Sus scrofa: one gene and its partner. The protein of the gene in region 1 binds, or shares a complex with, the protein of each later gene. Links are inferred from orthologs where the notes say so. Each region holds a gene or a part of one and is shown on either strand. Other genes may lie near its edges. The genes, in order: DNAJB1 and NUDC.

Region 1 (7,886 bases):
AAACAAAATAAAAAAAAAAAAAAACCTGTTTATCATATCTTCTCTGAACTGAGAGCTCAAACCTTTGCTGAGGTTTCTGTGGAGGCCACTTTTCCAATAACAATCTAAAGTGCCCAGTAAGTGTTCAGGTCAAAGAATCATAGCCACAAGAAGAAATGTTGAGGTTTTTTGTTTTTTGTTTCTGCGGGGGGGGGGGCAGTTCTTAAACAAAACTTCCTGAATATGACCCAGGCTTATTCAAGGAAGGAGAGTTCCCAGACCTAAGATTGCCTTCATTTTTTAAACATAAGGACACAGCTTGCATGATGTTTTGGCCTACCCAGAGCTATGTGAAGACCTTCGGAGGCCCCCACATTTGTAACTCTAAGTTAAGTTTATAAGTGTGAGGAAGTCCACAAGCTCTGGGTTTTTCCCCATGATGACTCCCCTGTTACCTATTTATGTAACTTAAAAAAAAAAAAATCAGGTGTTCCTGTCATGGTTCAGTGGTTAAAGAACCTGACCAGTATCCATGAGGACTCGGGTTTGATCCCTGGCCTCTTTCAGTAAGTTAAGGATCCAGCATTGCTGTGAGCTGTGGTGTAGGTTGCAGATGTGGCTAGGATCCCGCAGCTGTGGCTGTGGTGTAGGCAGGCAGCTACAGCTCCAATTCGACCCCTAGCCAGGGAACTTCCATATGCCTTGGGTGTGAAAAAAAAATCAAACTCTCTCCCCTCCATGATTGGTTCAGGACCCCTACCATGCTGTGCCCCTGGGCACCCAGGCTAAGATGCATCCTCCCAGGTCAGCTGCTATGTGTCCTAGTCCAGAGACCTTACTGATATGGCTACCCTAGAGTCAGTGAACGGCCAGAATACCCCTGCTAGATAGCAGGGAAAGGACATGGTTGTCTTTCTCAGGAGTTCCAGCCTGGGCAGTAGTTACTAGAAGCTTTTTGCTGAGGTGCTGCCAGGAAAGGGATGGCCCAGCAGCCCACCATTCAACCAGATGATTAGTCACCACTTTGACAGCACTTCCTCTAGGCCAGGCCTGTCTTGGGCACTTTACAAATGTTGACTCAATGTCAATTTCAAAGCCCTATGAGGCAGGTACAACTACAACTCCCATTGTACACATGAAGAGGCTAAGGCCCTGGAAGGCTCAGTCACCAGCCCAAGGGGTTTCACAGCCAGGAAGTGCTGTAACCAAGAATGAAAATCTGGCTGTCTGGCTGCAGAGCCAGTGTCACACTGCCTGGATCTCCCAAGCAGTTCTTCCAGGAACCTCTCCCCTTCACAGGCCACCACCACCTATCCCTTCTTCCCTATTCCCTTCTCAGGCTGTACTCCTTTCAGAGCCTCCTTTCCCTATCAGCCTTGTCCTTGACCACAGACTTTCCCCAGACTCTGAAAGCCAAAAGGGATCATGTTGCCTGCCGATGAGGAAGCAGAGGCTCTGAGAGGTGTATGCCACACCCATGTCTCCCCGAAATCATAAAGGTAGTGGGGAGAGAAAAAGAAGCAGGTGCATTAAAAATAGCCAGGAATAGGAGTTCCCATTGTGGCTCAGCAGTAACAAATCCGACTAGCATCCATGAGAATTCTGGTTCAACCCCTGGCCTCACTTAGTGGGTTAAGGACCAGGCATTGCCATGAGGTGTGGCACGTAGGTGACAGATATGGCACGGATCTGGTGTTGCTGCGGCTGTGTCAAGGCCTGCGGCTGCAGCTCCAATTCAAGCCCTAGCCTGGGAACTTCTATATGCCGCAGCTGTGGCCCTTAAAAAAAAAAAAAGCCAGAACTAGAAAGTTCCCATGTGGCACAGAAGTTAAGGATCCCAAGTTGCTGTAGCGCAGCACTGGTGGCAACGGGAGTGCAGTGTTTTTATGCTTTTTTTTTTTTTTTATCTTTTTAGGGCCACACCCTCGGCATATGGAGGTTCCCAGGCTAGGGGTCCAGTTGGAGCTACAGCTGCTGGCATGCACCACAGCTACAGCAACATCAGATCCAAGCCACCTCTGCAACCTACACCAAAGCTCACTGCAATGCCAAATCCTTAACTCATTAAGCAAGGCCAGGGATGGAATCCGCAACCTCATGGTTCCTAGTTACACGATGGGAACTCGTGGAGTGCAGGTTCAGTCCTTGGCCAGGGAACTTCTATATGCCGCCTGTGGCCAAACAAATAAAAAAACATAGCCGGGAATATTTAGGAAGAGTCAGACTGTTCTGACACTGAGACTCAGCACTGACAGAGGTCAGGCCCTGCTCTGATAGTGATCAAAGGCTGGGGGGGGGGTGACATTTAGCATGAAAACCAAGGAACAAGATAATTCCAAATTTCAGTGGGAGGTATTCTTGAGAAAATGGTAATAAAGCAAAAGGCTTGAGGGGTTAGACTGAGGAGACCTCTCCAGGGAGGTAAGCTTTGGTCCAGGGTCCTTGGCTCGCTTTACAGGGTCGGTATGGGTGAGGAGAGGGACAGTTCTGGGGCTCCCAACACTGAGGGTGAGTGGGGTTTTTTTTTTTGTTTTTGGTTTTTTTTTTTGCTTTTTGGGGCCCCACCCGCGGCACATGGCTCCACCCGATCAAATCCACAACCTCATGTCTCCCAGTCGGATGCGATTCCGCTGCGCCACGACCGGTAGGGGGGTATTTTTATTCCCGGATGGAAGCAGGTATCTGGGACAAGGAGCGATTAGGCAACTAGCCTTGAATCACCTGGCGTAAACTGATTCTCCCGCCCAGCGAGATGGGGGAAGGAAGCACCTCCTAGGGGAAGGGCGGGGCCTTTCGCAGCCCGGGGCCTTTCGCAGCCCCGCCCTACTCGAAGCACCGCATTTTTTTTTTTTTTTTTTTTTTTTTTTGTCTCCTCTAGGGCCGCACTGAGACATATGGAGATTTCCAGGCTAGGGGGTCCAATCGGAGCTGTAGCCGCCAGCCTGCGCCAGAGCCACAGCAACGCGGGATCCGAACCACGTCTGCGACCTACACCACAGCTCACGGAATCCCTGGATCCTTAACCCACTGAGCGAGGACAGGGATCCTAGTCAGATTCGTTAACCACTGAGCCAAGACTGGAACATCGAAGCACCCGCACTTTAACCTGTTGACCCAGGCAGGGGCGGAGTACGCGGCAGGCCCGGTCCCCGGAAGCACTGAAGCAAGGTCGCTATTGGTTCCCTCAGAGAGTGGGCGGGGCCTCAGACGCCCAGTGCCCGCGCTGCGGCGAAGCGTTGCCTAGGGCGGAGCGGGAAGGGGTGTGGCCACGCGCGGGCAGCCGTTGGCGGCGCGTCCCCGCCCCGGATGTCGCGCGTCGCAACCTGGGCAGCGACGATTGGTCGGAGCCGCGTGGGGGGCGGGGCGGAAGGTTCTGGAGGGGGCTGGCGGGCTCTGGAAGCTTCCGCCGGACGGGTATATAGAGTCCGGGACGGGGCGGTGGCGGAGCCGGGGTACGGCGACAGCTGGGCGGCAGGCCGCAGGCGGGGGCAATGGGCAAAGACTATTATCAGACGCTGGGCCTGGCCCGCGGTGCCTCGGACGAGGAGATCAAGAGAGCCTACCGCCGTCAAGCGCTGCGTTACCACCCGGACAAGAACAAGGAGCCCGGCGCCGAGGAGAAGTTCAAGGAGATCGCCGAGGCCTACGACGTGCTCAGCGACCCGCGCAAGCGCGAGATCTTCGACCGCTACGGGGAGGAAGGTGTGTGCGCGCGCGCAACTGGGGGTGCGCCACCGCTGTTTGACAGGCGGAGAGATCGAGGCACTGCGGTACCCCGGCGGCGTCCCCGGGGTAGCGCTAAGGGACCGGGGGACGAGCAGCCCCCGCCTTTTGGCCAAACAGGCCTCCGCCCTCGATTGGCGGCCTCCCGATGGGAGGAGGAGTCCTGGCCGCGCTGCTCGCCCAGAAGCTTCTAGTATGTCTGGGGCCGCCCGTCTCCGCCCACGTCCGCGATCCGTCGGTGGGGGAGAGGGTGCAGAAGGAGAGGGGGTAGAGTGCGCAGCCTTGATGATGGCGCTGCGGCCCCTCGGGCGCTGGGCTCACCTGGGCGAGGTGAGAGCCTCTGCCAGCCCAGGGTGCAGGGCGAGGCCTCTGGCTGAGCGCCGGGCGCAGGCTGCTTGCAGTGAGCTTGCAAATGAGAGTGCCAATTAGCGCCCAGCGACCTCCCGGGCGTCTTTGAGGGTGGAGTGAGGTAATCCCTGTAAAATGCTTACCTAGCCCCGTGCCAGACACGTAGTCGGTGGTCAAGGTGCAAGGAGCAGTAGGGCCCGCCTCTGCCCGGCCTCACCAGGATAGCTCTCTTGGGGAGGCGGGGGAGCGGGAGGAGAAGCTTTCTTGTTGTCCAGCTGCCTGTTGATGACTCAGATTGGTTTCTCGGTTTGGTCTTAAGAAAGAAATGACTTTTTATATATAAGAATGGTGGCACTTAGTGTCAGAGCGTGAGAATTTGAAATCTCCGATTGCTGTTTCACCTTCATTTCTACTCTCCCTACAGTCTCTAGCTCTAAAGTATTTCAGAGTAAACATTTGGTGAAAACTGACCCTGGATCACACCTTTTTCATTGGCTGTCTTGAGTTCTTTGTACTCCTTGTAACATTGTAGGAAAGATGGGTCACTCAAATGTGAAGACCTAGGTGGTGGCCCCAAGAGATGGCCATCTTAGAGCTCGAGCCCGTCTCCACTGTCAGGCCACAGTGAACTAACTACCTGTGGGTGATGGTGGTTCTGTTTTTGAGACTGCAAGTGGGAAGAAAAAGCTTGGAGTTCCTCCTTGCTCTTTCCTGACAGCCAAAAAAAGAAAAAAAAATTCTTCCTTGATGGCTCTCAACTCTTTTTTTCCCCTCAAGGAAAGCTCCTAGAGAGAAAAGGTCCTGGCCAGCCATCTGATTTCTTTTGCTTTTGCATTTCAGGCCTGAAGGGTGGTGGCCCAAGTGGTGGGAGCAGCGGTGCTAACGGGACCTCTTTCAGCTACACATTCCATGGAGACCCTCATGCCATGTTTGCTGAGTTCTTCGGTGGCCGAAATCCCTTTGACACCTTCTTTGGGCAGCGCAACGGGGAGGAAGGCATGGACATTGATGACCCGTTTTCTGGCTTCCCCATGGGCATGGGTGGCTTCACCACTGCAAACTTTGGCCGCTCCCGCCCTGCACAAGAACCCACCCGAAAGAAGCAAGATCCCCCCGTCACCCATGACCTTAGGGTTTCACTTGAAGAGATCTATAGCGGCTGTACCAAGAAAATGAAAATCTCTCATAAGCGGCTGAACCCCGATGGAAAGAGCATTCGCAACGAAGACAAAATCTTGACCATCGAAGTGAAGCGGGGGTGGAAAGAAGGGACCAAAATCACCTTCCCCAAGGAAGGAGACCAGACCTCCAACAACATTCCAGCCGACATTGTCTTTGTTTTAAAGGACAAGCCACACAATATTTTTAAGAGAGATGGCTCTGATGTCATTTACCCAGCCAGGATTACCCTTCGGGAGGTAAGGCACTAGGCAGGGCAGTGTCTGTGGAGGGAGAAGGCTGCCTTTGGAAGCAGTTCTGTATTTTGCTTAACAGATATTTCTGAGCACTTGGTGTATGCCAGGCTTGGGGCGTGCAGTAACAGTAAGACTCTCCAAGGCTCTGTTTTTCCAGAGCTTCTGTGCTGTACCTGGGTAGATTGGGGCAGGGTCAGCTGCAAAGGCCTGATGGCATTTATCCTCCACTAAATAGCCTCTGGGCAGGATGTGAGCTTTCTAAGCTTCTTGCAATCTAATGCTGTCCCTTTGCTTTCCAAGGCTTTGTGTGGCTGTACAGTGAACGTCCCCACTCTGGACGGCAGGACCATACCCGTTGTGTTCAAAGATGTCATCAGGCCTGGCATGCGGCGAAAAGTTCCTGGAGAAGGCCTCCCTCTTCCCAAAACACCTGAGAAACGCGGGGACCTCATTATTGAGTTTGAAGTAATCTTCCCTGAGAGGATTCCCCAGACCTCAAGAACCGTCCTTGAGCAGGTTCTTCCGGTATAATCACCCATGTTCCCCAAGGACTGACCAGGGACCTTTCCAGAGCTCAAGGATTTCTGGACCGTTCCACCAGTTGTGGATCCGCGAGAGTGTGGGAGGGCCCAGGGAGGGCTTTCGTACTGCTGAATGTTTTCCAGAGAATATATTACAATCTTTCAAAGTCGTGCACTAGACTAAAGTGGTTTTTCGAGCGATAGGGCGGCAGGTGGTGGGGACAGCAGGAGAAGGCAGTTCGGTCTGCCCCACTGGGTCCTGCAGCCCTTGAGGATGGGCCCACACCTTCCTCCTCCAGGCCCTGCCCAGGGCGAGAGGCAGACCCACAGCTGGACTTGAACTCTCTGTAGTCCCTTTGCTTGCGGATGTTAGATGTGTCGACCTCCCATCTTGGTTACCAGACCCTGTACACTCCTGTTTCTGTTGTGTGATCAGTTCATGTTTTATTCTGTATTTGTCTCCCACATCTTGCTCTTCCCCTGAAGAATCCTGTTTTCTCTTTTGCCATCTCAAATTGAGAACCTAGACTATTTTGCAGAACTGCCTGGCCGGCTCCCATAAGCAATACCTCTTGTTCCAGCAGGACCAAGGGAGCCAGCCTCCAGTAAGTGAATAATGTGCAGCTGCCTCTCCCTCAAGGGTCGGAGGCCCTGGCTGGAGCGGGGGGCCCTCTCAACCCCTGGTTCTGAGGCTGAGTACACTCACCTTCCTGTTCTTTAAGGCAATCTTTTGGCACACCTGGGATTTACCAGCGGCCCAGGTAATTTTTGTTTAATGGACTCTGGACTCTCTCAAAAGGATCTAATCCTTTTGAATTTTGCACAGCCCTAGATATAATCCCTTTTGATAAAAGGGTCTTTGCTTCTGATTACAGGAGCACTGTGGAACGTCTGTAAATATGTTTTTATAATTCCATGTAAAGTTGGTGTGCACTCAAATGAAACCAGTCCACAGCAGCTGCTGTTCTCTGTATAGGGCCATGATGGAATTCAGAAGGAAACTTGGTGGTGGGGTGGGGGTGGGGAGGGTGTCGGAACAAATGTCTGTTCCCTACAGGCCAGTCTGGTGCTCAGACCTTTAGACTCATTGTAAGTTGCCACTGCCAACACAAGACCAAAGTGTGTGACTTGTCAATGTGCAGCGTGACAGCATTAAAGACTGATGCTAAACCTCAGGGGAGCAGTCCTGCGACTCTGTTTGAGGGCTCTGCTGATGGGCTGGGGTGGAGTCTGGGCATCCCTCCAAAGGCAGCCAGGGTAGGTGGGAGGGAGAGGTTGTCAGGAGCTTCTGCCTTCCTCAGCTGGATGTGGGCTGCACAACATCAACCCACTGGACCCTGGATCTAGGTATCCAAAGAGCCCTGTGGATTCAGAGCTTGTGTTTTTGGTGAAGGTTGGGGCCAGAGTTAAGCAGGTCCTCTTTCAGGTCTTCCAAGATCTGGTTGCTGGGACCTAGGGGAGGTGTATACTCTACCTTCATGATCTCCCCCATTCCTTTCTTGCTAGAACAAGCTGGTGTTGGGCAGGCCCTGGCCAAACCAGGTTAGGATTCCAGCTGCCCTGGAGAAGACCTATTTTATTTGCAGGCCACTGAAACTGCTTTTACTTTGTAACTTTTAGTAAGGACCTGGTTTTATTATAAGGTAAGTGATTATACAGGCAGAAAACAACCTATTGCTATTTTGCTACAAAACATCTTAAAAGTAAAAACACCATATTTAACCAATCTAGGAGTGGCTTTGCCTTCCCACTGAAGCAGTTTAACTACTGAAAGCAGTCTAAGGGCAGTGCTGTCCAAGAGAACTTTCTTCAGTGATAGGAATGTTCTCTGTCTTTAAAACAGACATTCTTAAAGATTTCAAGTTAAGTTGCTTGAGAGCTCCAGCCACACGTGGCTTGC
Region 2 (7,738 bases), on another chromosome or scaffold:
TGTGTAAGAGTCTCAATGTTGGCTATATTGGCTTTTATTTATTTATTTATTTATTTGCTTTTTATGGCCGCACCCATGGTATATGGAGGTTCCCAGGCTAGGGGTTGAATCAGAGATACAGCTGCCAGCCTATGCCAGATCTGAGCCTCGTCTTCGACCTACACCACAGCTCATGGCAACGCTGGATCCTTGACCCACTAGCAAGGCCAGGGCTCGAACCCGCAACCTCATGGTTCCTAGTTGGATTCGTTTCCGCTGCACCATGATAGGAACTCCATGTTGGCTTTTAAAAATAATTTTTTTTTCTTTTTTGGCCAAACCCTTAGCATATGGAAGTTCCCAGGCTAGGGGTCGAATTAGAGCTACAGCTGCCGGCCTACACCATAGCCTCGTCAATACCGGTTCCTTAACCCACTGCAAGGGGTCAGGTCAAACCCACATCCTCATGGATACTAGTGGGGTTTGTTTCCACTGAGCCACAACAGGAACTCCAATAATTTTCAGATATTATAGAATATCCATTAAGAGTTCAAATTTGAAATTGTCTCATAAAAGTATTGTTATTGTGTTTAAATATACATAACAGGAGTTCCTGTTGTGGTTCAGTGGGTTAAGAACCTGACTAGTATGCATGAGGATGTCAGTTCGATCCCTGGCCTTGATCACTGGGTTAAGGATCCAGTGTTGCCATGCACCATGGCATAGGTCACAGATGTGCCTCGGATCTGATGTGCAGCTGGCAACTGCGGTTTGATTTGATCCCTAGCCTGAGAACTTCCTTGTGTCACAATTTCGGCCCTAAAAAGAAAAAAAAAAAAAACCATAACAGTACATTTACCATTTTAACTTTTTTTCTTTTTTTTCATTTTAGGGCTGCACCCACGACATATGGACGTGCCCGGGCCAGTAACCCAAACCGCTGCAGCTGGATTCTTAACCCACTGTGCCACAGTGGGAACTCCCCATTTTAACCATTTTTAAGTTTATAGTTCAGTGGCATTAAATACATTCACATTGATGTGCCATCATTTCCACCATCCATTCACCAGCCTTGGATGAGTTTTGGAATATCTGTTAATTATCCAAGTGGAGTTGTCCAGGGGCGCTGTCCAGGAGGTAGGTAAAGAGATGGTCCTGGCACTCAGGAAATGTCTGGGTGAGGTACCATGAGTATAAATAGAGAGGAAAAGAGGAGAGGGTAAAGGACAGAGCCCCCAACATTTATAAACCTGGGTAGATCAGAACACGGAGAAGGAGAGTTAGTGAAGTGGGAAGAAAACCATGTAAGTGTGAGGACGTGCAAACTCTGTCAGTCTGCTAGGGCTGCCATAACAAACTATTACAGACTGACTTGACAACAGTAGTTAATTTTATTACAGTTCTCCAAACCTGGAAGTCCAAGATCAAGATGTTGGCAGGTTTGCTTTCCTCTGAGGCTTCTCTTTTTGGCTTGCACATAGCTGCCTCACGTGGCCTTTCCTCCGCTTGCTCGTGAGTCCCTGGGTTTTCTTTCTCTTCTAGTAAGGACACTAACTATTTTGGATTAGGGCCACATCTGTATGAATTAACTCTAATTACATGTTTAAATACCCCTATTTCCAAAAAACAGTCACACTGGGAGTAAGGGTTTCTTCTTAATTTTTTTTTTTTTTTTTTTGGCTCTTTAGGGCAGAATTGTGGCACATGGAGGTTTCAGGCTAGGGGTCGAATCTGAGCTGTAGCCACCGGCCTAGGCCATAGCTACAGCAACTCCGGATCAGAACCTCATCTGGGACCTATACCACAGCTCATGGCAATACTGGATCCTTAACCCACTGAGTGAGGCCAGGGATCAAACCTGCGTCTTCACAGAAACTAGTCAGATTTGTTTCTGCTGAGCCGCGGTGGGAATTCCAAAGAGAGTTAGGGTTTCAATATAAGAATAATGGAGGAATACAGTTCCATCCATAACAGAAGACTAGGGAAAAAATTGTTTCTAGAAGGAAGAAGAGGTCAACTGTGTCAAATGCAGCTGAGAAGCTGAGCACTGTAATAGTGCTTTACTGGTTTTGGCAATAAGTAGGTCATTGTATCCTTGGTCAGAGTCTTAAGTAAAGACCAGAGTAAATCGAGGAGAGACGGAAGGTGAGGAAGTGGAGAAACAAGTATAGCAAATTTTTTTCAAGTTTTGCTGTCAAAGAGATTTTAAAATTGGGATAGGAGTTCCCATCGAAGCTCAGTGCTTAACGAATCTGACTAGGAACCATGAGGTTGCGGGTTCGATCCCTGGCCTTGCTCAGTGGGTTAAGGATCCGGTGTTGCAGTGAGCTGTGGCGTGGGTCGCAGATGCAGCTTGGATCTTGCGATGCTGTAGCTCTGGCGTAGGACGGTGGCTATAGCTCTGATTGGACTCCATGTGCCGCAGGAACGGCTCAAGAAAAGGCAAAAAGACAAAAAATAAAATAAAATAAAAAATAAAAAAATAAAATTGGAATGGTAGGAGGAGAAAAGTTTGTGTGGGGGGGTCATAGAAGAATAAAAAAAGAAGTGGCATTAAAGTATATTTGTAAGTTAAAAGGGATGATCCAGAAGAAAGAAAATTGTGATGCAGATTCATTGAGTAGGGAAAAAAAAAAATTCTGATGCAGGAGAATTAGGAAAGGATAGTAAGAGTAGAATCCCTGAAAAGACTAAGATGATGAAATTCAATACAAAAGTAGAGGGTTTGGCCTTAGATGGCTGGGGTCTGTCCCGCACAAAAGTGAAGTTCGAATTTAGCACTCATTACATAATTTGCATGAAACTGCGCAAAATGACAATGCGGGGTTGGGGGTGGGGCTCTTGTTAAAAAATATTAAGAGTCTCAGGACTGCAGCAGAAGAGCATTAACCCCAGCACCAAGGGACTTTCTAAGTCCGGGTCCCCTGCGACTGCACAATTTGTATGGAGTATGTGATGACAACAGGGGTAGGCTGTCTTTTGGGGCAAGTTCCCTTCTCCTTTCTGGGCCTCAGTTGGCCGATGGAAAACTTGGAAGAGATGATTAAGAACGCTTTACCGTTCTACAAGCTCAGCGGTCACTCTCAAGGCGTAAATTCAAAGTTTGTGCTTTTTCAACTTTCAGGCCCGCGTGATTTGAGCCCAGGGTTTTCTGGAAGGCTCCAAAAGGTTCCTGGTGACCATAGCAACTCACACCAAACTCAGAGGCCTTCGACTCCGCCCACCGCTCACGGACGCGCTCTTTGATTGGCTCAGCAAGTCGACCAATGGTCAGTGAAGCGGGCTGCTTGCCGCACGGTCAATGGCCGCTGGCCACAAGGGAGGCGGGAGGAGAGAGCAGGCGGGCGGGCCAAGGCAGCGGGGCGCGTGCGTGTTTCCGTCTCCGCTGCGGAAGGCGGAGGACTGAAACCGTTGCACCGGACGCGACCCGAAGGCGCCGAGAGCGCGGGACGCGAGAGCAGAGCTCAGATTTCGGAGCGTGGCTAGCAGCTGGCAAGATGGGTGGAGACCAGGAGGAGGATCGTTTCGACGGCATGTTGTTGGCGATGGCGCAGCAGCACGAGGGAGGCGTGCAGGAGGTAACGACCCGCTCGGCATTGGCTTGGCCTGGCCCACCCAGGCGGCCCAGCCACTCTCTTTCCTCCCTTCGCTGCCTTCGAGAGACGAGATCCACCCCTGGGCCTTGCGGGCTTTAGGATCCCGCATTCTCATTGCACCCCAGCTTCTAGTCTGGCCTCCCCGCCGCAAGTCTTGCGCTCGGACCAGTTCTGGATCCCTGGGGCCCCTCAGTAGTTACCATCTTAACAGCTCTGGCATCCCTTTATCTGCCCCTGGGAAGGCCCGAGTCTTGGAATCCCTTCCCCCTCTTTAGTCTCCAACCTGCTTCCGGCCCTTTTCCCCTCTGGTGGCCGCCCCCAAAGAACATCCTTTAGGATGTTCTAGGCATTGAGATTTGCATGTACCAAGACTTGGGGCGAGCGGAAGAATGTATGCGATGTGTGGGGGTGGGGGGGGTGATATTAACACGTGGTCTTTCTAGATCTTGAATGAGAGAATAGGAGGCGTGTTTTGCATTTCCTAACAACTTGGACTGTTTCATGTCTCCAAGCTTCAGTTTCTTTCTTTGAGACAGAGCTACGAATCCTTACTTCCTGAATTTGTAGGAGAGTAGTGTCTTGAAGTGAAGGACAGTGAAGAATTCTCGGTAATCAGACTCGAACATTCAACAAGTGTTTGTTGAGTAATTGATGTGTGCAAGAACATAATTCATGCTTAGTGACCAAACCCAATAACATGTGTAGGAAAAGGATAAGGACCAACTAGTAAAGATTCTGGAGTTGGTTTTTTGGACGATGGAAAGTTAAACGTAGCAAAACCTATCAAGATTAGTCTTTCTTTAAAGAAACTGAAGGAGCTTGCCCAAGCTCATCCAACAGGCTCCTGGCTTAGAGGGGACCAGAATCCTTAGGCCAGTGTGTGCTTTCCACAGTCCATTGTTGATTCTGTGTCTCATTGGAGCCTTCCATTCCCATTCTCATTCAGGTCCCTGTGGGAAGAGTGCTACTAATTTGCAGATGTGAAAGTCTCCCTTCTCCTACCCCCCTAAATTGTTGTTGCACCTGGATTTGGAAGTGAGTTCATTTTTGAGTGAATTGAAAAAGTGTCCAGAAGCAGGAATTGAAACTGTTGAGATAAATTCTAGCGTCAGATTTAGAACCTCTCACTTGGGCAAATAAAAGGGCTTATTTATATGTGCCAACCCTCAGTCATCACTAGATCTTTTTGCTCAGCAAAAGTTTTCTGAGCATGCACTCTGAGCCAGGTCTGGTGCCAGGCCTTGGGGATGTACACAGAGTCATGGTTCATGGTGCCTACTTGTGAGGAGCTCTCTCTGTGGCCGAGGTTCTTTAGCCAGACGCTATTAAGGACCTCACCTGCATGTCTTCCTTTGGTCCTCTCAAGGATCCTCACGTGTATCCCTAGAAATTGGTCCTGCTGCTATTTCTGTTTCATAGAGTTAAGACACTGTCCCCAGGTCACAGAGCTAATGTATATCAATCTAATGGCCAAAACGATGCTCTTTTTTTTTTTCCTTTTTAGGGCCACACCCATGGCATATGGAAGTTCACAGGCTAGGGTTTGAATCAGAGCTGCAGCTGCCAGCCTATGCCACAGTCATAGCAACGCCAGATCCAAGCCATGTCTGTGACCTGCACCACAGCCCACTGCAACGCTCGATCTTTACCCCACTGAGCAAGGCCAGGGATCGAACCCATGTCCTCATGAATATTAGTTGCGTTCATAAGCACTGAGCCACAACGGGAACTCCCAAACCGACGCACTTAACAACTTGACTGCACTGATGCACCCAGCCAGAGTTAGCTGGTTTTGGAGTTCCCTGGTGGCCTGGTGGTTATGGATCCAGTGTTGTCCATGCTGTGGCTTGATTTTGATCCCTGGCCCCAGGAGCTTCTGTAGCTAACCTCCCTCCTCCCCTCAAAGAAAAAAACACCAGAGTTAGTGGGTCTTAACCTTCTTTGAAGTGGCCTTCTTTGTTCTCTCCTTCCAGCTCTGCCCTAGTAACTCAGCCAGCGCCACTCTGGATGGGCTTTTTGCTACATGGAGAGGAAAGCTAGGCCCCAGGCATTTCAAACCTGGATGCAGTGCCCCATATCCTCAGGCTGCTTCTAGCATCACAAAAAATGTGAAATACACATATGCATATACACAAGAAATGAGAATTCTCCCTTTCTGTTGCTCTAGATCAGGTTAGGTTAGGCTTCCTGGCAGAAGTAACTAAGGCAGGGCTGTTGGGGGGGATGTTTTCCCAGTTGGGAGGCTCAGGGTTGAAATGGTCCAGTCCCAAGTTCCTTCCTAGGTGAAGGAGGTTGCTTGTGTGTGGTTAAGGGGCTCCCTGTATGGCACCTCTACAGCTTCAGTCTTTTGCCTTCTGTCTTTCAGCTTGTGAACACTTTCTTCAGCTTCCTTCGTCGCAAAACAGACTTTTTTGTTGGAGGAGAAGAGGGGATGGCAGAGAAGGTGAGTGTTGGCGAGCTTACCTGGCCTTCCTTTGGCATAATAATAACCTTTCGCAGAAGTTAACACGCCAAGGGCAAGAGTTGGGGAAGGAAAGCATTTACTGTCATTTATTGAAGTCCCTTTCCTTGCCAAGTGCTTTATCTACCCTGCTTTCCATGGTCCTTTAGCAGTTTGAGAGGGGCAGCTGTTACTATCTCCGTTTACAAAGGAGAACGTTGCTCCGAGTTATGAGAGACAGGTTGGAACCAGAGTCTGTTGTAAAACTGCCTTCTGGCCCTGGCATCACGCTTCTTGGTTTCTTTTCTACTGTGGAGGTTTTATCTAATTACCTAGCTGGGAGATGAGAGCAGGCAAATGTAAAACACTGAGCTTAGAAAAACAGATGTCGGAAAAATCAAAACCTACCAATCCTAGTCTTGCCAGATGCTTGTGACCCAAAGTTCAAGGATTTGAGAATTGCAGGGGGTTTTTTTGTTTTTGTTTTTTTTAACCGAAGTCTAGTTGATTTATAATGTTGTGTTCGTTTCAGGTATACGGTAAAGTGATTTGGGTTTTGTGTGTGTGTGTGTGTGTGTGTGTGTGTGTGTGACAGTGAAGAAGTGATGGGTGTTAGGGCACAAGTTCTGGGAGCATAAAATGGGGGCTCCAGGAAAACTTCCTGAGGAAGAGGTGCCTGCGGTACGAAGGCTGAGTAAGACAGCAGGCAGAAGGGAGAGAGGTGAACAATATCCAGACGTTACATCTCAGAAGTATCCCAGGGATGACGGTAGCTGCCACGTATTGGATGTTTGCTGGTCCCTCTTAGACCCTCCCTGCTGTGCTCCTTAGAGTCACCTCTTCCCCAGGAGGTTGGTCAGACCCTCAGGCAGGCAGAATCCTGTCCACCCTTCTCACCTGGTCTCCAGTGGTAACACGCTAACACCTTTATGTTGAGCACCTACTGTGCGCAGGGCTGCCAGATAACATCACTTTCAAGTCCTTGGGTTAAGAGCTCGGCTCTGGAGCTAGGTGTCCCCTCTCCCTGCTTGGCAGCTGTGTAGCGTTGGGTGAATCACTTCCCGATTCACTTGGTTTTCTATAAGACAGGGATGCTCTTTCCCTCACGGAGCTGTTGTGAGGATATAAGGAGGTAATATAGTGTGGCTGGCATATGCGAATACAAGTTCACAGTCCCTTTTTCAGACCTCTTGGGGTCAGGAGCATTTTGAGACATAGAATTCTTTGGCTCTTTGGAGGCCATACGGAGTATATACTGTCCATCACATGCAGGACCCCAGTCTGGGGGTCAGGAGCGGCATCCTGGAATGAAACTTGAATATTTCCGCAGAGAAATATGTATCAATATTTATACCATGTGGGAGATAATGAAGACTGTAAATATCTTCACGCTACAAACTTAGAGAAATACAAACGCACATTTAGTTTTTATAGTCTGGGGCTAGGAATTATGGATTGGAATAAAGTCATAATGATCACATCAGTATGTTACTGACAGAGAAAAGACAAATGGACTAACGAAGCAGAATAGAGAACCCAAAAAGGTCTTGCACGTATGAGGATTTAAGATGGGTCCAGTAAGGTAATTCAGTTCAGTAGGCAAAGGATGATTTAATAAGTTGTGCTGCTACTACTGGCTATTTATCTATAAAAAATGTAGCATCTGTTTTACTCATATCTAAAAATATATTGCAGCTCAAAAGAACCTCTTGAGGAAAGCTAG

What was found.
Region 2: the proteins of DNAJB1 (region 1) and NUDC are in contact, whole or in part, in a crystal structure (PDB 7NDX), measured with the Homo sapiens proteins. The link is inferred for Sus scrofa from reciprocal best matches to the Homo sapiens genes DNAJB1 and NUDC. Residues at the interface, in NP_006136.1 of Homo sapiens: His166, Lys181, Lys182, Met183, Lys184, Ile185, Ser186, Asp201, Lys202, Ile203, Ile235, Phe237; in NP_006591.1 of Homo sapiens: Pro102, Gln103, Ile104, Lys105, Glu106, Leu107, Ala112, Leu115, Gln116, Ile119.

The regions. Positions count from the first base shown.
Region 1 is NC_010444.4:64,758,326-64,766,211, forward strand, and holds DNAJB1 (dnaJ homolog subfamily B member 1), read left to right. Parts: upstream 1-3,346; 5' UTR 3,347-3,470; coding exon 3,471-3,681; intron 3,682-4,890; coding exon 4,891-5,468; intron 5,469-5,765; coding exon 5,766-5,996; 3' UTR 5,997-6,157; downstream 6,158-7,886. UniProt on the Homo sapiens protein: Interacts with HSP70 and can stimulate its ATPase activity. Stimulates the association between HSC70 and HIP. Negatively regulates heat shock-induced HSF1 transcriptional activity during the attenuation and recovery phase period of the heat shock response.
Region 2 is NC_010448.4:84,235,327-84,243,064, forward strand, and holds the start of NUDC (nuclear migration protein nudC), read left to right. Parts: upstream 1-3,368; 5' UTR 3,369-3,476; coding exon 3,477-3,557; intron 3,558-5,940; coding exon 5,941-6,018; intron 6,019-7,738. UniProt on the Homo sapiens protein: Plays a role in neurogenesis and neuronal migration. Necessary for correct formation of mitotic spindles and chromosome separation during mitosis. Necessary for cytokinesis and cell proliferation.